2 linked regions of the Lonchura striata genome follow. The protein of the gene in region 1 purifies or fractionates together with the protein of each later gene. This does not show direct contact. Links are inferred from orthologs where the notes say so. Each region holds a gene or a part of one and is shown in the gene's direction. Other genes may lie near its edges.

The links.
Region 2: the proteins of RRP1B (region 1) and SRSF6 purify together in Homo sapiens (affinity purification with mass spectrometry; 3 studies listed by BioGRID and IntAct, with this or other methods). This does not show direct contact. The link is inferred for Lonchura striata from reciprocal best matches to the Homo sapiens genes RRP1B and SRSF6.

What each region holds. Positions count from the first base shown.
Region 1 is NC_134604.1:111,745,664-111,757,417, reverse strand, and holds the start of RRP1B (ribosomal RNA processing protein 1 homolog B), read left to right. Parts: upstream 1-7,409; 5' UTR 7,410-7,489; coding exon 7,490-7,622; intron 7,623-11,545; coding exon 11,546-11,646; intron 11,647-11,754. Other genes in the region: HSF2BP (heat shock factor 2-binding protein), read right to left, coding at 4,229-4,379, 6,403-6,438. UniProt on the Homo sapiens protein: Positively regulates DNA damage-induced apoptosis by acting as a transcriptional coactivator of proapoptotic target genes of the transcriptional activator E2F1.
Region 2 is NC_134619.1:13,767,391-13,778,082, reverse strand, and holds SRSF6 (serine/arginine-rich splicing factor 6), read left to right. Parts: upstream 1-6,018; 5' UTR 6,019-6,199; coding exon 6,200-6,306; intron 6,307-6,497; coding exon 6,498-6,646; intron 6,647-7,921; coding exon 7,922-8,049; intron 8,050-8,216; coding exon 8,217-8,425; intron 8,426-9,031; coding exon 9,032-9,121; intron 9,122-9,236; coding exon 9,237-9,600; 3' UTR 9,601-9,725; downstream 9,726-10,692. UniProt on the Homo sapiens protein: Plays a role in constitutive splicing and modulates the selection of alternative splice sites. Plays a role in the alternative splicing of MAPT/Tau exon 10. Binds to alternative exons of TNC pre-mRNA and promotes the expression of alternatively spliced TNC.

The sequences.
Region 1 (11,754 bases):
TCTGAGAAAGCAGACACATCTGATTTAAAAGAATCACATCTGGCTGTTAAATACTGAGGGTTGAAAAGATTTTTTTTTTAATTTACTCAGTTTTCTACTTTGTTTTCATGTTGCTTCCCATGAAAACTCTGGGAGTGAAATTTCACCTAAGTCAGTGACTATATTAAAAAACATAAGAAAAATACCAACAGTAGTCAAAAGTGAGTGTTTCAATCTACAGTTTACAACTTACGTGGGTAGCAAGAATAAAAAGCAACTATTTCAAATATTTTAAAATAGTATTTATAAAGTAGTATAAGCAACCTGGGCTCATGAAAGCTCTCTCTGCCCATGGCAATGAGGTTAGAACTGGATGATCTTTAAGATCCCTACCAACCCAACACATTCTGTGATCCCATTATTATAAACTATTTAAACATTATGTCAGTCACAAGCCAATTTTATGATTCTTTTATAAAATTAATTTCTGATGTTATCAGAAATTCATTCTAATTTAGGCACTTTATTTTAGTGAACAGAAATCAAGTAAAAAGTAATCCATTTCACCAGCATGATGCCTGTTTAAAAAAATTCTCTCTGAAGGACAGTTTTAACAATAACTGTGTATTGTATTTTACTTTTAAAAAAACAGTTTTGGATGCTTAGTATTTATACTGAAAAAAGGAAGCATGTTTGAGTCGTTCCAAAAAGTAAAATCCAAACAGCATCTACTATAACCTTGGTTAGTTGAAAAAAAAAATTATACCCCACTTCAAACACCATACCCTTGAACATGACAGTTTGGTCTACAGCTTAACATATTTGAAATACTTCCCCCAATATGTCACAGTATTTTTTGATGTAATTACCAAAAATCATATCAAATTCTATCATAAAAAGACAACATCATTAAAAATTATTCAAATATGTTCTTATTAAACAAAGGACTTGGCTTCTGGCATTCTGTTTAGTAATTCTACATTATTTGAAAATAAATACCTTCCTGTTTTGGTCCTAATTGACAAGTTTATCATCTTAAGTATACACATATTGCTTTGAGTAGCATGTATAAAAGGAAGAAAGCTGTTTGTGGCTGATTTATCTGAAGAGGTATATTTTCATTCAGCCCTTGTGTGATTCCGAGCCAGCAACATTTTTTAGCAAAAAGCAAAGAGGCAAGGCAAGGATTCACAGCTGACAAACATCTCTGTGCCAGGACATGCTCTCTGAGCAACTCACTTCTTTTCAATCTGCAGTCCAAAGGAAAAGAATGAAGGGAGGAATGGATTAATTGAGGTTTTTGGGGATAACTCTGTTCAGTGGCAACAAATTTTCCTTCTGTCAAGACAAGAAAATTCAGTCTCGTGCACTTCTGACTATGTGGGTCTGAGTCCTAAGAAGTTGACAGCAATATGTCTTGAGCAGGGGTAGAACATGCTCTGCTTGCCTACAGCAGGCCAAGAGCCTTGCCAGGTAACAATGAAAATCTCTGTTCCTGCAAGGAAACAAGCTCTTCAGAAAGAGAAAAATCACTTCTAGCCTTTGAGAGGATGGATCCAACCTGAATCCAGCCAGCAGACAAACGAAGATGCCACATCCTTCACCAGCAAACTGCAAAGGTCCCAGAACAAAACCTGAGCCAGAAGGGGAGAAATATTGACTACTGAGTGTTAACACAATGCAACCTGGGCTTTTTAAAGGGCTTCAGATAACAGAAAGATGTGTCAACATCCTCTAAGATATCACAAAATTTTATGTAGAAGGGGCAAAAAACGACAATAGTGGAAGCTGCTGAAAAAATACTTATTTCCAGTTCTTCCTCATTGGTGGAAACTCTCCTGCTCTGCCCAGTCAGCTCTCCCAGCTGTGCCTTTGCTCTGAAGAGAAAGAAGCAGCTTTCACTAGCAACTTGGGTGAGTAACAAAAAAATTGAAATGGCACCTTCACACTTCACACAACTGAAATGGTAACTTCACCACTGCAGTGGTGAATCAGACTCTGGGAAGAAGTGGCACTTGCTCCCAAAGAGACTCAAAAGAAGAACAGAACACTGGGCACAGCAAAAAATCACAAGGTCCCCATTTCAGATGTGAGGTAGACTTGGTCTCATCCACATAAAATTATAGGTCATACCAGGAGATTTTTCTGGACTACGTGTCTAATCTCAAAGCCCTGGGAGGTGGAAAACTGACTACAATACGAATGAATGACGAGAAGTGATGGAACTCCAACTCTACTTATCCAAATGCTAGATCAGTGTTAAATGATATTTTTAACTCTCCCCAAGTGGAGTGAGTTCCACTAAACATATCCATAATACAGGAAAATTGCTGGAGCTGTATTTCTAAGACTCTGGAACCAAGCACTCTTCCTGAGAAGGGTAATAAAAACAAAACAGAACCCTCTTTTAGAAATTAACAATGACCCTGGCAAAAATCTTAATGAAGACCCTGACAGCAGCCTGAAAAGCAGGTGTTGGCTGCACTGGGGATTGCCAGCTTAGATCTCAGAGATCAACCCTGGGAATCCACAGGAAATGGGGGTCCTATTGATCTACACACACCAGGGAAACATGCAAAGATCTCAAGGTTTCTCAAAGCTGTTCAAGACTCCATCATTCTCACAACTGAATGGGTCAGAGGTTTTGAAAGTCTCTACTGCAATCTGCACTTATTGAGGAGCAGCAGACTCTGCTGTTAAAGCACACTTCAACAGTACCCAGGAAACTGCAACAGCTGATGGAAGTCTGGAGATGTACAAATCACACATTAGGCTTCTGTAAGAACAATATGAAAAAATATCTCTGGAAGCTGCCAGGACTCCTGTGAGCTTCACATGCCACACCAAGAGGCTGTATATAGCAAACAGCACCATTCTGAGAGTGAGGCTGCTTGTGTCCTTGTGATGTCCAACCTTTAGTGATTTGCATGCTCAAAAGCCTCCTTCCAGTCTGCCTTATTTCATGCTGCAGAGGTAGGAGGAGATTGGAGCAGCAAAAATCTCCACTTGACTTGTCCAGTTGTGGGGGCACATAATGGCTAGAGCCTGAATAAATATACAAATTATCTCATCACCTGCAAGAGAAATCTCCACTGTGGAGAAAGACTCCAGAGAATTCAAAAGCTGTCTCAGCTTCAGGTTCTGCCCTGGAGGACCCAGAGAATGCTGGACAGCCAGCAGAACATTTCAAGGAGTCTTAAAATCCCATGTTGATGCCATGAGCCTGCTCTGGATGGCCCTGACAGGGTCTCCTTGATGCCTGGCACAAGGAATGTAAGAAGGGAACAGTGAGAGGAATCTCAAGACAAGGAGGAAAAAACGAATTGAGGATTCTGAACGCTTAACACAACTGGAAACAGTCCCTGATGCCCTGCAACAGAGAACACTTCCAGATTTTATCCACTGCTTGTAACATGGAAGAATCTTCCCAAAAAGTGAATCACTGAGGCAGTAGGAAGATTTGTCTCAATATATTACATTGTCAGACACAGGCCTTGAGGCCCTACCTTGCTTTTCCTTAGCTGCCTGTTGGAAATTAATTTTCCATTTATTACTTGGTATTCTAGAAGAGACACACCCTCAGTAATCTGTCTCAGTGCTTGTTCCATGTCTTTTCAGGCAAACCCAATTCCAGATAAATTGTACAGCTCCAGGTAAACTACAGACCAGGGATGGAGCTGACTCCTATTTGGCCCTGATGGCATGTTGGGAATGGGTTTTTTTTTGAAAAAATAACGCACAGAGAAATCCAGCATTGAAAAAAATGGACTTTGGGGACAGCGATAAAAAGACTTTTATTACAGAATCTTTTCTTTTTTTATTAGTAAAGCATACAAACTAGACAGGCCAAATACAGTATTAACTCACTCTTCAGATTTTTACCCACTGCTATTTACCATTATTTTGTTGTTGGGTCTTTTTTTTTTGTGAAAGTCACCATTAGAAAAACAAAATGTTTTTTGGGGAAAACACTTTTTGTTCCTCATACAGCTTCCCTTACTGCCTGAACCATATATGTTTTTATCCACAGTAAAATATTTTTAAAGATTAATTTGACATGTCTGATTATTCCTAAGGCAGCCTGTAATTTTCTTCACTACAAACACATTAATTTACTGAAGCAGTCACTGAACAACACAGTTGAATCTGGAATAGCTCCATAAACTCTACAACTATTTCTGGAGCACAACAGTTTGTTCTAAGCAGTTCTGGCAGAAACTGCAAGAGCTTGTAAGATGGTGCTACTCACTTGATTCAATAGCATCCAGCTTCTGGAATGTCCCCAGGATATCTCCATTTACTATTTTGGGTAAGAAATCCCGCAGTTGCATAACTTCAGTTGTCAGCCTTTCCAAATCCCTCCTTCTGACTTTTACGAATTCCTCTTTGGTCTCAGCCTTCTGAAATAAAACAACAAAGCAAAAAAAAAAAAACCAAACCAACAACCAACCAAAGACACAGCTGCAGTCCTGTATATACAGTCCTATGACATTATTTCAGCAATTTGTAACTTTTTATAGAGAATTATCCAGCAATCAACCCCAAAGTCTCTGAGGTTGACCCTTTGACTGTTATCTTCATTTTTGCCACTGTGGCCTTAAGTAAATAGCATTACCTCTCTTCATGTGTTTCTTCACCCAAAATGTGTAAAATACATTTGGGAATGCTGCAAAAATTAACACTCACATTTTAAAATGTGAGCAGCATGCACCAAGCTGTTGTTTCACGACTGTCGTAAAGGACACAATTACTCAGCTTTTTAATTAATTCAAACATTTGCAAGATCCTCAGTTCTAAATTACAACAACTCTCTTGGAAGAAACTGTACCGTTTTCAAACCAATTTATCTTTTGTGAAGAGCAAAAATTATTTGCAACCATCTGCAACTCAATCTCACATAAAAAATTTAATCCCAAGGTAAGACAGAAATGTTTACTAGCTTCCTCTTCTGCCAAACTATAGCTATAGAATAATTTTCATTCAACATTCCAGCAGAATATGTGTTAAATCTTAAAATTACAGAGCAATTTCTGTACAAAAAACCCCATAAAGTCCAATTTCTGATGTATACATGTGCACTCTGCTAGATGTTTAAAAGGCGGATACACACACACCAAACAAAAAAGAAAGTTTTAATGTATTTTGACTAAAACATCAATCACTCAATATGCTTCCAGAAAGCAAGGTTAAATCTTAGCAGCGCTTTGCACTGCACTGAGAACAGTGCTGACAAAATGAGATGCTTTATGTATCACATTCCAGAGGGAAAAGGCTAACAAACCTAAATCTCATCTCCTAGAGGTTCAAAATGTGCCATCCCTGCAGTCCTCTCACGAGTAGACACACAAGACAAATGGAAGTCATCCTCTCCAACCATTCCCTACAGTTCTTTCTGCTTTCCTACTTCCTCACATTGAACATTTCCTTTCAGTTTTGCTTCCTACTCTATTTCTTTCTCAGCTGTATTTCAAATCCAGAGAGTTCTGGGACAGATCAGTGCCACCACTGCAGGTTCAGAGCTGTAATGAAGGTAGGGAAGAAAAATTTTGCTTTAATTTGAACTGCAAGCTTTAAGCTGCATCGAGGAAGTGCTTATGGCAAGGTTCATAGGCTAACTAGCACTACATAATTACATGACTCTAGAAAAATTCCACCCATCTAGGTCTCAAAAAAGCATGGAGCAAACACATGGGAAGAGGAGTCTTTAGAGGAATGCCATCTGCGTGTCAGCAACCACGAATGACAGAGAGAATTCAGTATTACTCAGACTTACAGAGCAAAATTTCGTACATAAAAATAGCTCTGTTCACTAACAGCTGAATTCAAGTAAAACAGCCTGTGAATCACTGGTGTTGAAATATAAAATATGCGGTAAGGAGAAAATTCTCCTTTGTAGTTCCCACTGTAAGCACAAGTCTTTGCAGCGCTGCAGCTACAGCAGGCAAGTTTTATTTTCTCTGTTTAAGCAGCTTCTCCACATCTCTCTGCACTACAAGAGTATGTTAAAGGCAAATACAGGGGAGAACAGGAGTTTTCTGTCCAGGTAACGGCAGGTGCCAGGAAGTAGGAAATTCGAGTTCTTTCACAGGGGTGAAGTCACCCAGCAATGCACCTGAGCTCATGCCCTGCCCGGTGTGAGCCCAGGGACGGGAATCTCCCTCCCCTGCCACTCCAGGGGCCGAACAGGGCAGAGCTCCCCAGCACGGACTCCCTGCCAGCCTTTCCCCACTCACTCCCCACCAGCCCAGGGCGCCTGTGGCTCCCCAGCCCCACCACGCTGCCCTCTCCCTGCGGCCCCGCCGTCGCCTCCTCAGCGCCCCGTAAGGCCACCACACAGCCCCCGCTGCTTCTGCTGCTCGAGGCACCCGCAGGGACCTCCGGCCGGGCCCGGCCTCTGAGGCAGCCCCGGGCCGCTCGCGATACCTGCGCGTCGCCAGCGAGGCCGGCGCTGCGCCACATCGCGACAGCGGCGACAGCGGCGACAGCGAGCGGCGACAGCGGCGACAGCGAGCGGCGACAGCGGGGCAGCGTGAGGGAGCGGAGCGCGGCGGCCACGCCCCTGTGGCCACGCCCCCTGTGGCCGCGCCCGCTCCGATTGGCTAGTCCCGTGTGGGGGCGTGGTCTGGTACTCAGGCTCCGCCCCCAGCCCCGCCCGGAGCGGCCGCGGGATAACACCGGGATAAAACATCGGGATGACACTGGGACAACACCGCGATAACGCTGGGGTAGAGGTGGGATAACACCGGGAGAACAACCGTGACAATGCCGGGACTACACCGGGTTGTGGAGCTGCAGCCCGGCCGTGCCGTGGTGCCGCTGGAGGGTGCAGGGAGCGACAGCAAGTTGGGAGGGAGGATTGATCTGCTGGAGGGCAGAGAGCCTCTGCAGGGGGATCTGGGCAGGCTGGATGGAAGGACCGAGTGGTGGGAGGTTCAGCAAGGCCAACTGCCGGGTCCTGCACTTGGGTCACAACAAGCCCCTGCAGCTCCAGGCTGGGGAAAGAGAGTCTGGAAAGCTGCACGGAGGAAAAGGAGCTGGGGTGCTGGTCAGCAGAGGCCGAACATGAGCCAGGTGTGCCCAGGTGGCCAATAAGGCCAATGGCACCTGGCTTGTGTCAGCAATGGTGTGGCCAGCGGAACCAGGGCAATGATTGTGTAGGGCACATCTCAGGTGCTGTGTCCCGTTCTGGGTCCCTCCGTTCGGGAAGGACGCGGCACCACTGCCGTGGGTGATCGGCCACAGGCTGGACTCGATGACCTCAGAGTTCTTTTCCAGCCGTGATGATCTGCGGGCGCTGCGGGCGGTGGGGATCCCGCGGGTGCCTCCCGTGGGTGAGCCAGGTGCCGGCCAGCCCCGAACTCCGCGGCGCTGCCGTCCCTGCGCTCCGCCTTCCCCGCGGTGACGGCACAGCCCGGCGCCGCTGACGGCATCGGGCGGAGCGCGGCGCGGGCGGGCCGGGCCGGGACACGGACACGGGCCGGGACACGCAGGGACACGGGCAGGCCGGGCCATGGCTCCCGCGGCCGTGCAGCCGCCCGAGGTGCAGTTCGCGCAGCGCTTGGCCGCCAACGAGAAGCGCATCCGAGACCGCGCCCTCAAAAAGCTGCGGGGCTACATCGGCGTGCGGAGCCAGCGCCCCGGCGGTACGGACCGGACCGGGCCGGGGCGGCGGGCAGGGACCGGGGGAGGGACGGGGACGGGTCCCGGTGCCGGTGCCGTGGCGGGGGGAGCGGCGGCCCCGGCGGACGGACGGCACGGGGAGGGAAGGAAACAGCACGTGTGCGCCCTGAGCCCGGCACGCCTCCTCGGGCTTTTTTTTTTTTTTTTTTTTCTCTTTGTTGGGTTTTTTAGGGCTTTGTTGTTGTTTTTTTTTGACTTTACCAATTTTTCCCATTTTTGCCTTTTTTTTTTTTTTTTTTTTTTTTCGCCCTGTATACGCACGTGTTGCCCCGGTGCTGCCGCAAGCGCAGCCCCAGCAGCACCCGGGAGCCGAGGCGCTCTGGATCCTCGCTCGGGAAGTGTCTCCGGGCACTGGAGGAGCTCGGGAAGGATCAGCTTGGATCGAGGGAGGGTTTTGCTGGCAACATTAACAAATCCGGGATGGGAGCAGGGTGGCTCGTGTGCTCTCGTTCCCAAGGAACAGGGGTGTAAATGCACTGAAGTGATCCAGGCTGGAAACATCCCGGTATATGCTGCATAAAGTTTCATCTTCTGTTGTTTCTGTGAGCTGATGTCTGTCTGTTTCCGTGACTGATATTCAGGAGCATCGGAGGGAATCGAGGAAAGCTACATGCTTCAGCACTTGTGTAATTGCAGCTGGTTCTGTGTAACACATTTAGGTTACTTGTTACCTTCACTTCATGCTAACGAAAGCATTTTTCTTCGTTTTTCCAAAAATTCTACTTGGAGCTATATATTGGCACCTTAGAACTAAGAGTTCAGTGGTGTCCTTGGAGTCTGTTTGAGGCTGGCAAGGCCAGTCTGAAGGTCCGTGTACCTGAAAATGCCTCGGGTGCACAGTTTCCACATGGATGTGTATTATTCCTATACCTCATATTACATATAATGTAATGTATAATCTCTATTTTATGTTTCTTTTCTATAAAACATATATTTTATAAGCTGCATTCTACAGTATTCTATTACCATATATTCTAATTATTTATTATTGCATTTTACAAGTATATTTTATATATTAGTATATATTATATATGTATGGCTTTGGGGAACCAGCCTAGAGCTGGCCTCAGGAGCTAATCTGGAGTGCTGGCTGGACCTCCATGACTTCCTTGAAAAGACTGTAGAGAGAATATTGCTTCTTGTCTTTCCAAGTAGTATTTGACCCATTAGCCACATCTGACAGAGGGTAGGACACCTAGAACAGTCTTACAGGGTCAGGCCAGGGAGCCAAACAGGCATTATCCCATTCCTGGCAGTTAACATAGATTTAGGGATTTCCTGGGCACTAGGACAGTGTACATCATGTATCTCCCAAGAACATTCTATTTTTTAGCTCTGGAGACTTTCTAAGGGGGAACAGGTTCAGGCACTGCTTTAGAGCATCATGAAAGCATCACAGGGAAATTGCTCAGTTGGGCTGTGAACCTTTTGCATGTTACAATCAGCACACCATGGGATGCAAATGAGTAGGAAACAAGGGTGACTAATTTCCAGAGCTCTTAGATTTACTTGCTGTTAGGTGGTATTGAAACGAAGATTAAGTACTTCGGGCTTGGAGAAAAAGCATGTTCAGGAGAGAGGGTTTTTTTACAGTTAATTTATTAATTAGCAGTCTTGTACCCATCTCCAGTGTTCTGAGAGGGATTCACACATCAGGTAACCCAGGTAGGATGCCCTGACCTGAGGAGTTGAGAATGTGCTGACTTCTGGCAGAAGTGATGGAATTCACCTGATGTTCAGGGCTCTCAGGTGTTTATTAGGTGGACAGGACTGCTCTGTTGGTCTGTGCTAAGGCTGAGGGAGCTTCTTCACAGAGCCAGAGCTCTTAATTTTCAAGAAATTAAGCTCTGTGGAAGGCATTGAACTAACCAAATTAATTGAAGAAAGAACAGTAAACAGAAATAACTTCCAGTAAAAGAGGGCAGATTGCTGGGTGGGTTTCCTGTCTGACAGAGCTGTGCTGACTTGTGCCTGGATCTGTAAAGGATTTCTGTAATTTCCACTGAAATATCCCTGTGTGGATCTGGTCCATTGCAATTATCTAGAAAAGGAAAAATGGTAACAAATTCAATTATAACAGTGTCAAAGCAGCCAAACTCCCAGACAGAGAGGCTGACAAGGCTTGCAGTAAAGTAGCTCTGAGTGGTTGTAATGTGTTAATCCCAGCTCCCACAGTACACAGAACAGAGTTACTGTGCAGAGGGACAGTTGAAATTCAAGCCCTAAAGCCACAATCTTTCTCAGGATAGGTTCAAGGTATAGAAGGCCTTCAGTTCTGGGCACTGTGGTTGTTAATACAATGCATTCGGGTTTTAAAATAACTTTAATGGTTATTATTTGCCAGCTGTGGCTGGGGAACAGCACATAAAGCTGAACAGAAAACACTATATTGAAACTACTCTTTTGAGACATTAGGATAAGAAAATTGCTGTAATTTTTGGTCAGAGTCTTATGTCAAATTGGCACAGGACTGCCTAGGACGCTTTAAAAAGCCCTGTGTGTATGAAAAGCAACCTCATAAAAGTGTGTGTTTTCTTCCCTCAGAGCACAGGAACAGGCTGTTCAGGGCAGTGGTGGAGTTAATGTCCCTGGAGGGATTTAAAAGATGTGTAGATGTGGCACTTGGGGATAGGGTTTAGTGGTGGCCTTGGCAGTGATTATCTGAGAGGTCTTTTCCAACCTGAATAATTCTGTGATACAATTCTGGGAACTCCTGAGCCACATCTATAGGTAGCAGGTGATGCCTCTGTCTGATACTTCTGTAGGGTTCATGCTGCCAGTAAGGTTGAAACTGCTTCTTACCACTCAGTATGTCACATATAATTCAGTTAAGAAATGTTATTAATTTTAATATTTCAATAAATATTAATTCCGTTAATAAATTTGTTTCATATTTTATCGTAACAGTATTGTCAAATCTAAATTTAATGCTTAATATTACTGGACACATTGCTTCCTACATAGCATTTTGCCTATTTTCTCACTTCTTTTCTTTTCAACCAAGCAGGACTAATCTGTGTGCAGGTGTTTTTGTCCTTTGGTCCAAAGGAAGGTGCACAATTTAGATCTTGCACTGGGTTTCAGACTTTTTGACTTTTTTTGAGACAATGATCTTTTTGGAGCAAATTTGAGCTTACTGAAGATGATGACCTTTTCAAAGTGTTTTTTTTATGGGATTGCTTGGGAATATTTAATAGGCCATAGTTTGAAAATAACTGTAGTAGGTCATTGTAGCTGCCTTGTAACAATGTACTGTTAAAATTTTACTTCACATAAATTTAGCCGATGTAATGAAAAATCTAGTTCTTGAGCAGGTATTAGTATTTCCATGTAGTACTTTACTTCTGGAATGTGAAAATATTTTTTTGCTGTTAAAATTCAGGTTTTACTACATCCCAAGACTAACTGTATCAGAAAACCTTTTGTTATAGTTGCTCAAGCTCTTTGACTATAAAGTTTAATGTAGAAATAAATGTGCTGATTCCTAGAAGTTCATTCTATCAAAACAAACCTCTAGGAAGGAGTAAAATTATTGGTAGAGTGAGACTTGTTAAAAACAGCAAAATAAAAAATATCATGTTTCTTGTAAAACTATTTCTGATACTCTCATTAAAAACTTCTTTCAGGCTTGGTGTGAAAAATATGCCAGAGGCATTTATCAGAATTACCTCAGTATTCATCTTCCCTGTGATTGCTTTGAAATCTTTGTTGCTTCAGTACAAGGTAGAACAGTTTCTATCACTGTTCTATGCCAAATTGCCTTCCAATTAATGTGCTTACAGTAGCAACCCAGAGAAAATAACTAAAACAAAGAAGAAAGCAGGGAATAGGGGGAGCTGAATGAAAATATTTTGGTGGAAATGAGTGGTTTTTTTATTTAATTCAGACTTGTTCTGTACCATAGGTGGCTTCAGTCAGGAAGAACTGCTGAAAATATGGAAGGGCCTTTTCTATTGTATGTGGATGCAAGATAAACCTCTGCTTCAGGTACAGTAACTGGGTTTGTATTTGCTTGAGGGGGGCCCTCCAAAATACACTCTAGGGACATACTAATTTAGAATGCAGAAAATTATCTTTTTTTCCCTTCCCCTGCAG
Region 2 (10,692 bases), on another chromosome or scaffold:
GGTGGAACAAACCATAAAACTCACAGGTTTGGGGTTTATGCTGAGTCCCAGGAGCACACATCCCTCTGGGTGTGAGAAAAGCTGTGGATTCAGGGCTGGGCCTGCTGTGTGCTCGTGGGTGTCAGGAACAGGACTGCCAATCAAGGGTGTAAAAATGACAGGGCACACAGGGAGAGGTCAGGCACTGATCCGGAAGGATGGAGAAGATAATTGGATCTTATCTGCATCTGCTCTGAGCAACCGCTGCCAGCCTGCTTGGACTGTGGGGGAGATGGGGTTCACCCCTGTGTCACTGTTTCACAGCCAATTCTTGTGTTCCTGGATTTCCAACAGACCGAAAGAGAATAAGACATGACAAGGGTGAGGCTATCCTAATTACAGCCAAGGCTGGTCAGAGCGGTCCCTAAATGGCCTTGGAACAGGGGGAGGTTTTGCCATTCACCTTCTGGGCTCCAGGTTTGTCCTAATCCAGGACCAAGGTGGAAGAAAGCTAGAAGAAGAACAAACAATGTGAAAAACACATCACTGATTATGGGGGACAAACACTGAAAAAAGAACAGGGGATGTGAGAAGGAAATATTTGCAAATGGCTTGAGAGGGCAGGTGTGGTTTGAGGGAGGAAGGTGTGGTACCAAGACTCTGGATTCCTTCTGAAGGATGGAAATGGAAAAACAAAACAAAAGGACGAGATCCTAACATGAATCCTCGCTTCCTTTCCTTGTGGCCTCAGCAAATCTCACTCTGCTGCCACCTGCCAGGGGCCTTGAGATGTTCCACCAGAGACAGCCATCACATTATCAGGGCCCCTGAAGCCTGAAAGACACATCAAACAGCCAGTGCTGGCGTATCAGCATCCCGTGGGCCATGGGACTCCTCATCCCGTGTGTCACATCCTCTGCGTATTCCAAAGAGCACACGGCGCCCAGGCACTGATGTTTGGAGAAAGGAGCTCTGGCTGTGGAGCTGCTCTGGGGGCTGTGCTGGCCCAGCCCCAGGGAAGTGCCTGTGCTGAGATTCCGCTGGATCTGCTCACACACGAGCAGGAAGCAGGGAACTGTGTCTCCTTTTCCCATCTCGACACTCCCTGACCCAGCAAATGCATTCCTAGTACTGTTCGTCCCTTTCCTGATCTGTCTCTAGTCTTGTTTTGTTGCTGACTCGTCTGGGGATTTTTCTAACCTGACTTTGCTTTTGGGAGAGGGTTTGTTGGGTGGTCTCATTACAGGGGAACCAATTCCCTCATGTAATTTTGTTTGCCACCACCCGTGGTCTCAGGGTGGGCAGAGCCAAAGCCCAGCTCTCTGTGTGCACAAAACCCAGGCTGGAAGCACAGGCCTGTGATCATTCCTGCTCTGTAAGGTCCTGAGCTGAACGGGCTGCATTTCATCCACCTCCAGGGCACAGCAACGGGATGTTCTCCCCAGAAAAGGTGCTGATGTAAACACCAGCTGAGGGCTCAGAGCTCAGAGGTTGCATGGATGGCACTTTTGCCATCAAGAATTTATTTTTCCCTGTTGGAACAGGGAAAGAAATTCTTTATACTGAGAGGCAGAGATGTTGAAATGAGCATCATCACCCACGAGAGAGCAACTTTTATGAGCTATGAAAACAGCACTGAAGGGCAGATATTTGGAGAAAGACAGCTCCTCAGGGCTCTGGTCCTGAAGGGCATCCATCTGCAGAGAAGCCCTTAAAACCAGGTTGAGTTTTCCTCTTTTATCCTTGGACATTACTCCAGGCTTTCACACTGCCTTCACCAGGCACAGAATGGTTTAGCTGCACCTGTCTAATGGGGTTGCTTCCAGTGGGTTTTACAGGCAGCTCCATAGGTGCCAGCACAGACAATTCCAGGGGAATGCCCCTATCAATGGTTTTTAAATTTGTGCCAAGGAGTCATTTCCCGAGGAGAACAGGAGTAGAAAATAACAGAATGCAATTATGGTGGGAAGAGGAGCTTTGGGACTAGGCGTTACAACCTGCAGTTATCCCAAAGGAGACACAAATTACTTAAATAATGGGGTTTTCTACATCTTAAGTTTTTGATAGAATTCATCCTTAGTTCTGTGTATGTCCAGTCAGTGCAATGGTGTTGCTGCCCAGAGGAGAGGCTCAGAGACACTGTGACACTTTAGTAATAAACAGTTTTCCCATTTACCAGTTTCTGAGAAAGCTCTAGTGCTTCAGAGCTTGTTCTCCAACAGAACAGCCAAATATGGAAAATCCTGACTGTGAGCTACATCCCAACAGTTCCCTGAGAGCTTTAGGTTCAGGGACAAAATAGAACATATCTCGTACTGTTCCTCTCTGCGTTGGGCTATTCAGGACTTAGACAAGGCTTTTTCAATTTTCTACATAGAGATGTGTAATGACTAAATTTACAAGTCACAATACCTAGATATTGTAGGAAAAAAAAAATAATATAGCAACTTTTAAATTAGTTGCTGTAATTGCACACAGAAAACACCCCACAAATTTGTGAAATCATTCAAGCCTTTTCCACTTTAACAGGTCACTCACTGCCTGTTGCACTCGTGCATCAAGCTTGTATTAAATGCAAAACACCCGAGACTTGAGAGATTCTCCCAGTTCTGTATCTCAAATCAGCAGTTGCTTTGTTACAGATTCACTCAGGGCAACACCCTGGAAAGGGAAGGCAGTGGTGGTGCCCTGGGCTGTCACAGGCAGGGATTTTCCAGCATGGAAGCATGAGAACGCAAGATGCTTTTAAAATAGCTGGCAAAAATCCTGGAGTAGGACTAAATTTTGATTATGTAGTATGCAACATAAAAATGTTATCTGCATTTGAATAGAAATGCTTATATAAAATTGAAATATTTAATGTAATACAATATAATAATTAGATATGCAGAAGTTTGTCTCAAGTATACAAATCATAGTGTACGCTACAAATACTTTGAATGTAAAGCCCAGCAGACAGTAAGAGTGCATTTATCCGCATATTAAGAGGATTTTTATCAAGAGATTGGGAGAATTTTCCTAATTCAGAACATTAAAGGGAAGTCAGGACACAGGACCTGGTGACTCCAGGCAGATATTTGGGATTCTCCTGTGCAGCTCTGCCTGGAAGGGACGCCGTATACAAAGCCCTTGGGGCAACCTGGGCTTTCAGGAAGCTGTGACAGGGCTCTGTGGGATGGATCCTGGGGCTCTCTTGGGCTTTCCTTCTAGGCTGATTCTGTCTCTGAAGGAGAACCAGTGCCTCAGAATGCTGGAAGAACAGAACCTGGCACTGAAAAATCGTGTGTCTCAGTTATTTTCTGCTCTTAAGCAGGCTGGGCAGCTCTGTTCTGAGCATAGAAGGCAAATGCAGGAGCTCAATACCCAGGTAAGCTGTGCAGTGGCATCCTCTTCTCCAGGGACACACAACAGCACCTTTGGCTTGGAGGCCCCAAGCTCTTTCCCCTCCCGGCAGCATCCACAGCTGCCGTGTTCTGCCCGGGGCTGCTGCTGCACCCTGAGGCCCAGGCTGGATCTGCTGTCTGCTGCCGAAGTTTTGCACCGTTCTCTCCCGGCTCCCAGCAGGAAATCTGGGAGGGGAAGCAGCAGCAGCCTCCTCTGGAGCTCCTCTGTCCCTCCATGAGCAGTGTTGTCCCAGACAGAGTTGGTGCCTGTGCTGGCACTGAGCAATGTGGGGACACAGAGGTGGCTGTGGCAGGCTGGGCAGGGCACTTCCAGCGCAGCCATCTCAGCCAGCTGCTGTTCAGAGCTGCAGCCTCAAGGATGCCCACTGCCTCCCTTTCCCTCTTTTCTCTACATTTGTCTCCATTGGAATCCTTGCTTCCGTTCATTCTGGTTTTGGCATGGCTTTTGCCTGAAATAATTTCTCTTTCATTCCTCTCCCTGCGAGGAGCAGCCCTGTCCCTGAGGCTCTGTGCATCCATCTTCCAGATGCAGGCCATGCTGCTGGCAGAGATAGAGAAGACAACTCAGCAGGCAACTGAAGAGAAGGAGCTGCTGGAATCTGAGGTGTCCGAGCTGTGTGTGAGGCTCCAGAGCTCTGAGGAAAGAGCAGAGGCCATGGCCACACAGTGTAAGGCCATGGAGCTGGGGCTGAGGAAGACACAGGCTCAGAGGGACAATCTCAGAGCCCAAAATCAGGAGCTCATGAAACAGCTGGAGGAACTTGAGCAAGGTACAGCTTCTCCTCCCCCAGCCACTGCCCCATCCTGTCCCACCTGCAGGGATTTCGCTGATGCCTCGCAGAGGAAAAGTGCTCAGAGATGGCAGAGGGGAAAAACAACCAGCAGGAAATTTATCCATCCAAGTGCCAGTGAAAGCTTTTTCTTGAGAAAGATGCTGTGGCTTTCAGAGCCATCTGGCTGTGCTAGGGCTGCTCCTGGGCTGGAGTCTTTCATGGGCCGTGTCTCTGTTAAGGAGCTGTAGCTGGGTGCCTCAGCTCGATTCCCCCAAACTCCAGGCCCTGCCAGAGCCTCCAGGGCCATTGGCCTCTGAGCAGGGCTGCACAGGCATCCCCTCTCCTTTGTCCCTCCTGGATTGCTCACTCTGCACAAGGCCAAGAGCAAACACACATTCCTAGCCCTCTGAACCTTGCTCCTTTCATTCCTGCTTTTCTCTCTGCCTGGAAGTTTCCTTCATTTCTGTCAGCTTTGGAGCCCTTGTATGCTTAGGGCCTGGCAAACACCGGCAGGCAGAGAAGACAGTGCTGTTGTCTCTGCAGGATGCACATCAGTGTGACTTTGCTTTGCTTGTCCTCTTCCCCTTCTCCTTCCCCTTCCCTGCTGCAGATTGGTGGAACGCAGCAGTCCAGCAGATTTCTCGAGAAGCTGCCCTGGAGAAAGAGGCCACTGAAAGACAGGAAGAGGCTGTGACTCTTCGTCAGGAGGTGGCATCTCTGAAGAGGAAATTGGAGAACCTGGAGAAGGAAAGGAAGGATGTGCTGGTGAGATTGGCAGATGTCACAGAGGGCCAATTCCTAGCTTGCTTTGAAACTTGTTTTAATAGTTCTAAGAAGCAGATTTTTCCAGTTGAACTTTTCCAATTGAATTCTTTTGAATAAGGAGGAGATGTTGTAGTCATGCCAAAGCCAGTTAATGCTGAGGCTGCTGATTTTCCTCCATGCTGGGCTTCTGTTTCCTAGAAGCTTTAGTTTTCAATATGCACAATCTCTCTATGGACATTGCATGGTTTGGGGAATTCCTTGTGTTCAAACCCATGTCCAGATTCCTAAATATCTGCAGGGGAAGGAGGGGTGAGCTGACCAAGTTTGCTGTTAATAGAAAGGTGTTTGGCCTTGGCCATCTGAGAGCAGCCAGTGGGGAGAGAAGAGAGGAAAGCCAAGTGCTGATCCACACCAGGACGTGTGCCTGCAAGGGAGAACTCGTCCTGAGTGGCAGCAGAGAATGACAGACTGATCTGGCCATTGCTGCTCCAAGAGAGGGCAGTGGGGCTCTCGGGGATGGAGCCATGGAAACTCTATATGGGAGAGGTGGAACACCACTCCTGTCAGCCCAGCCCCAGGGAAGGAAATGCTGGGGGTGTTTGCTCTTGCCTTCCTCCCTGATGGAGAGCACGTCCTTGTGGCACTGCCTAAATCCTGCTTAGCATGGACTTGAAATCCTGGCTGCAGTTCTGGCAGCTCCTGCCCAAAGGAGCACTGGAACTGAGCTGCAAGAGGTCGGGGAAGGGCAGAAAGGAAGCTGGGACAGGCTGAGCGAGCTGGGCAAGAGCAGCATCAAGGGGGGAACCAGCAAAGGTCTGCAGCATGCCGAGGGGCAGAGAGAGAAGGGCAGCCTGTGCCTGCCCCTGCAGCAGGAGTGTGGCCGCGGGGCTCTGGGGCACTGACGCCTGAGGCGCCGCGAGCTGGCAGCGCATGCGCAGAACCGCGCGCAGGTCCTGCGCACCCGCTGCACCCGCCCGCGCTCCCGCGCGCGCGCGCGCGCACACACAGCGCTCAACCAGCGCCCCCCGAGCACGCGCGGCGGCGCGGTGACGTCGTGCGTGCCCCGCCTCCTGCTATAAAAGCGGCGGCGGCTGGCGGGCGCCATTGTGGTGCGCCAGGCCCGGCCGTGCGGAGCGGGCCCGCAGCGCCTCCACCCCTCACGCCGGCAGCGCTCTCGCTCCTTCTCTCTCTTTCTCTCTTTGTCTCTTTTCTTTTCCCTTCCTCTTCCTCCTCCTCTCCTTTCCTCTCCCTCCCCTCCTCTCCCCCACCGCCGCGGACATGCCGCGCGTCTACATCGGCCGCCTGAGCTACCACGTCCGGGAGAAGGACATCCAGCGCTTCTTCAGCGGCTACGGCCGCCTGCTCGAGGTCGATCTCAAAAACGGGTGAGCGCCGTTGGTCCGTCCGCCCCTGCCGAGGCCCCGGGCCGGCCGGGCCCGTCCATGTCGCGGCCGCTGCCGCGTGGCGCCGGCGCAAGATGGCGGCGGGGGGGAGCGGAGCGGAGCGGCCGCGGCTCGCAGCGGGCACCGGGGCGCGGTGCGCCCGCCGCCTGACCCGGCCTTTCTCCTCTGCCCAGCTACGGCTTCGTGGAGTTCGAGGACTCCCGCGACGCCGACGATGCCGTGTACGAGCTGAACGGGAAGGACCTGTGCGGGGAGCGGGTTATCGTGGAGCACGCCCGCGGCCCCCGCCGCGACAGGGACGGCTACAGTTACAGCAGCCGCAGTGAGTCCGGGCCCGGCCCTCCCCGAGGGGCTCGGGGCGGCGGCGGGCAGGGCCGGGGGCGGGCAGGGCTCGGCTGGCACCGCGCCCCGGGGCTGGGTGGGGGAGGTCGTTAGCGGGGGGTACCCGGTGCACCGCTGGGGCTGCAGCGTTTTCCTCGGCACCAGCGGTGCCCTCGGGTATCCCGGAGCAGTTGTGGCTGCCAAATCGCGGCCTTCTAGAAAGGGTTTGCTCTGCTAATTAACGGCTCCAGTATTCCTGGGAGCATTTAGATGTGACAGCGATGTTGCATCAGTAATGTTACTGTATAAATTATCGTTGTGTAGCGGGGGCCCAGCTGTGAGCTTTGACGTGATTCATTCAGTTGGATATATGGGAGGGGCGGGGGGAGGTTTTGGAGCAGGAATCTGTTGCTCTGAAGGGGGGGCGGGTATTGTAAATATTTCTGTGCTCAGCTCGCTTGTGTAGCTTCTTGAGCCGAGCTGTGTAGAGCTTGAATGGCCTAGTACTGTAACTAAAAGTACTAAGGTTGATTTTTCGTTGGTGTTTGGAATCGTGGTGTTGGGGGGGGTGGGTTTTTGTCTTTTTAAAAAAATCAAATGTATGTTGTTTTAAAATTGTTGCATGTTCAATTCAAACTTTTTAACAAGTCCTTGATGTTTCAATTTAAAAGTGACCAGTGGGGCTGAGGCTGTGTCCACTGAGGCTAAGATGACTGCCTTTCCTGGCCATGGCTTTTCCATACATTGTGTGACCCTTGCCCTATGACCCTTTGGCTGACCTTACCGGAAGCCATGACGACAGCAGCCTTTTGCCATTAGACGCAGGGTGATGGTGAGGATTCCAAGGGTTAGACAAAACTGGTTAAACTGAACTAGGTGACTGTTACCTTGCGTGTTTTGTGGCCAATCCACCACCAAAAACCTCATACTGTGATGTAAGTACTTAGTGTAACTAGTAAACGTTTTTGTAAAATGTAGAAATGCATGTAATCAGTTAAGTTTTATATTTTACAATGTTCTGTAAAATAAAACTTAGCAAGGTGAATCTAATAAGGAGCAGTCACTCTCTAACAGATCTTAGGAGCACAGACTTGTAGGATGTTAGTCTGTTTGATTTGCCATTAATATAGATCATGGCAAAATTGCAAAGTTTATTGGAGGCTTAGCGAAATAAAGTCCTACTCCAGTAAATATGACTGTTAAACTAACTTTTTCAGAACATTGAGCTTCCTTCGTGCTAGGAGACAACCTAACTTTGTTTCTTTGTACAATCAAGGTGGGGGTGGTGGCGGATATAGCAGTCGGAGACAGTCGGGACGAGATAAATACGGACCGCCCGTTCGTACAGAGTTCAGGCTGATTGTTGAGAACCTTTCCAGTCGCTGTAGTTGGCAGGATTTAAAAGTAGGTATTGATGTTCCGTGTGAAGTCTGTTGTGCATATCAGGAAGCAATGACTTCCTTTATTAGCAATGTTGATTTTGTTGCAGTAGAATAATTTGAAAGTGTTTGTGCACATTGCGTGCTGCGGGCACAGCTCCCCGTTCTGTAGCTGCCCTGTGCTCCCTGCAGGATTTCATGAGGCAGGCTGGGGAGGTGACCTATGCAGATGCCCACAAAGAACGTACAAATGAAGGAGTGATCGAGTTCCGGTCATACTCTGACATGAAGCGCGCCCTGGACAAGCTGGATGGCACAGAGATAAATGGCAGGAAGATCAGGCTGGTGGAGGACAAGCCACGCTCCAGCCACAGGAGATCCTACTCTGGCAGCAGGTCCAGGTAACTCGGGGGACACGCTGGTCACTGCAGCAAAAGTGGTTACAATCAGCCTGGGGATGGGTGCCCTACCTGCAGCAGTTACCTTGAGCTCATGGCTTAGGAGTAGGAGGAGGCCTCAGTGTAGAAGGAAATATTTTGCATCATATGGCAGAGCCAGGTTTGAGCAGTTTTTCCACATGTGAAACTTCAGATGTGATTCACTAACAGTATGTTGAATCTACCCTGGTAGGACCACCCTTGCTCTTGAGAAGTTCTGTAGCAGCTTTTCTCTGTTAGATTATGCTGCTAGATAGCACAGTGTATTAAGTGCAATCAGGAAGATTTTCCAGAGAAACTGTGGCTGTCCCTTGATCCCTGGAAGTGACCAAGGCCAGGTTGGACAGGGCTTGGAGCAACCTGGTGTAGGAAATAGATTTGTAGAGAATTTTTAAAGTTTAATAGAAGGTTTATATAATATGTATGTAATCACCTGGGGTAGTGGAAGGTGTCCCTGCCCACGGCAGGGGGTGGAACAAGGTGATGTTTAAGATCCGTTCCATCATACACTTAAAGATGTTGGGCACAACCAGGCCAAGAGAAAGGGAATGACATTTTAAATGTCTGCAGGTCACGATCCAGGAGACGGTCTAGAAGCAGAAGTCGGAGGAGTCGGAGCAGCCGCAGCAGATCCCGTAGTGTCTCCAAAAGCCGTTCCCGGTAAGTGCCTCAGTGTTAGCGCTGCCAGTGCAGGAGCTCCCTCACTGACAGGTGTTTACAGCTGCTGGGAGTGCAGTGCAGGCCATGCAGAATAAACTCTCTCTCTCTTTGAAAGATCTAAATCCAGGTCACGAAGCAAAGACCGCTCCCGTTCCCGATCAAAAAGCAGGAAGTCCAGATCAAAGAGCAAATCCAAACCCAAGTCTGACAGGGGTTCACGCTCGCACAGCAGATCCAAGGAGAAGTCTGAGAAGTCCCGGTCCAGATCCAGGTCCAGGTCTCGATCTCCCAAAGAAAATGGTAAAGGGGATGCTAAGTCTAAGTCCAGGTCCAGGAGCAGGTCTCGCTCCAACTCGCCACAGCAGCAGCCGTCTGCCAAGGCTCGCTCCGAGTCGCCGCCCAAAAGAGCCACGTCCAGATCGCGCTCCAGGTCTCGCTCAAAGTCCCGCTCACGATCAAGATCCAGTTCAAGAGATTAGGACTACAACTCTCCTCTCACCTTGCACACTTACGGAACATTTTCCTACCTGTCAGGCCATTAGTGTTATGTTAGTACTTCAGAAGTTGGGTATTTCGCTTGCAGGAGTGAATGGCCTAAGAACTAAGGCATAAAGGTTTAATTTGTATCCAAGATTTGACAATACCAGGTGGAATGGTGGTACAAAGCAAGAAGAGTCCCCATTTTGTAGAAATTGAGCTGAAAGTTTGATTTTATAGCATTTCTGCAGGAGTAACTTAACTACTCTTCAATGCAAAGTGGTTTTTATATTAAAAATAAACTGAATATAAACAGGCTTAAATATGGGCTTTTTGAAAGTATCCTTTTTTCCTATTTTTTTTCATGGCATTAGAACTATGGGTGTCATTAGTTTCATAGGTTTCAGCTTGCTGCCAAAGGCAGGATTGCCTTGCTGGACAGGTTGCACAGTCTATCTTAATTTTGGAAGCAGTCAGCAAACTGTATAAAACAGTAACAGTACTAGGAAGATTTTAGACCAGCAATAAATTCAAGTTGGAGGACTTAGGTTGACTTAGGTTGTACCTTGACTTGCCAAAAGAACATTCCCGTCATACTGAGACTGTATTAAAGGTAACAAAGGTACTCTGGAACCTGTATCCTACAGTATTGCTGAAAACCCCTTTGTTCCAGACTTGAAAAGAATAAAAACTTTTCTTGCTTGAATCTCAAGTGTCACTGTTGTCAGGCACGAAGGTGTCTCTTGGCTGTGGTCCAAGTTGTTAGTATGCTGTTTGGTTTGTCAGCCTCTGAATCCCCATTGGACATGAAACCCAGGTAAAGAAATCTGTCTTCCCTCACCTTTGACTCACTTATGTTAACGTTTTGCTTCAGACTAGGAGAACTATAATCCTCTTGTGTGTAGGTCCGAACTTTATTGGAAATGTATTCTCTTGGAGCTAGAATTCTAGTTTTAACAAAGGCTTTGCTAAACCACAGTTGCCAGTTCACTTAAATTGTGGAATAAGATTCATCCCAAAAAATCCCCTTTATAGTTAAATTGATTTTTGTAACATGCAGTAGCAAATACTAGAACTGCCTTGTACTCTTTATA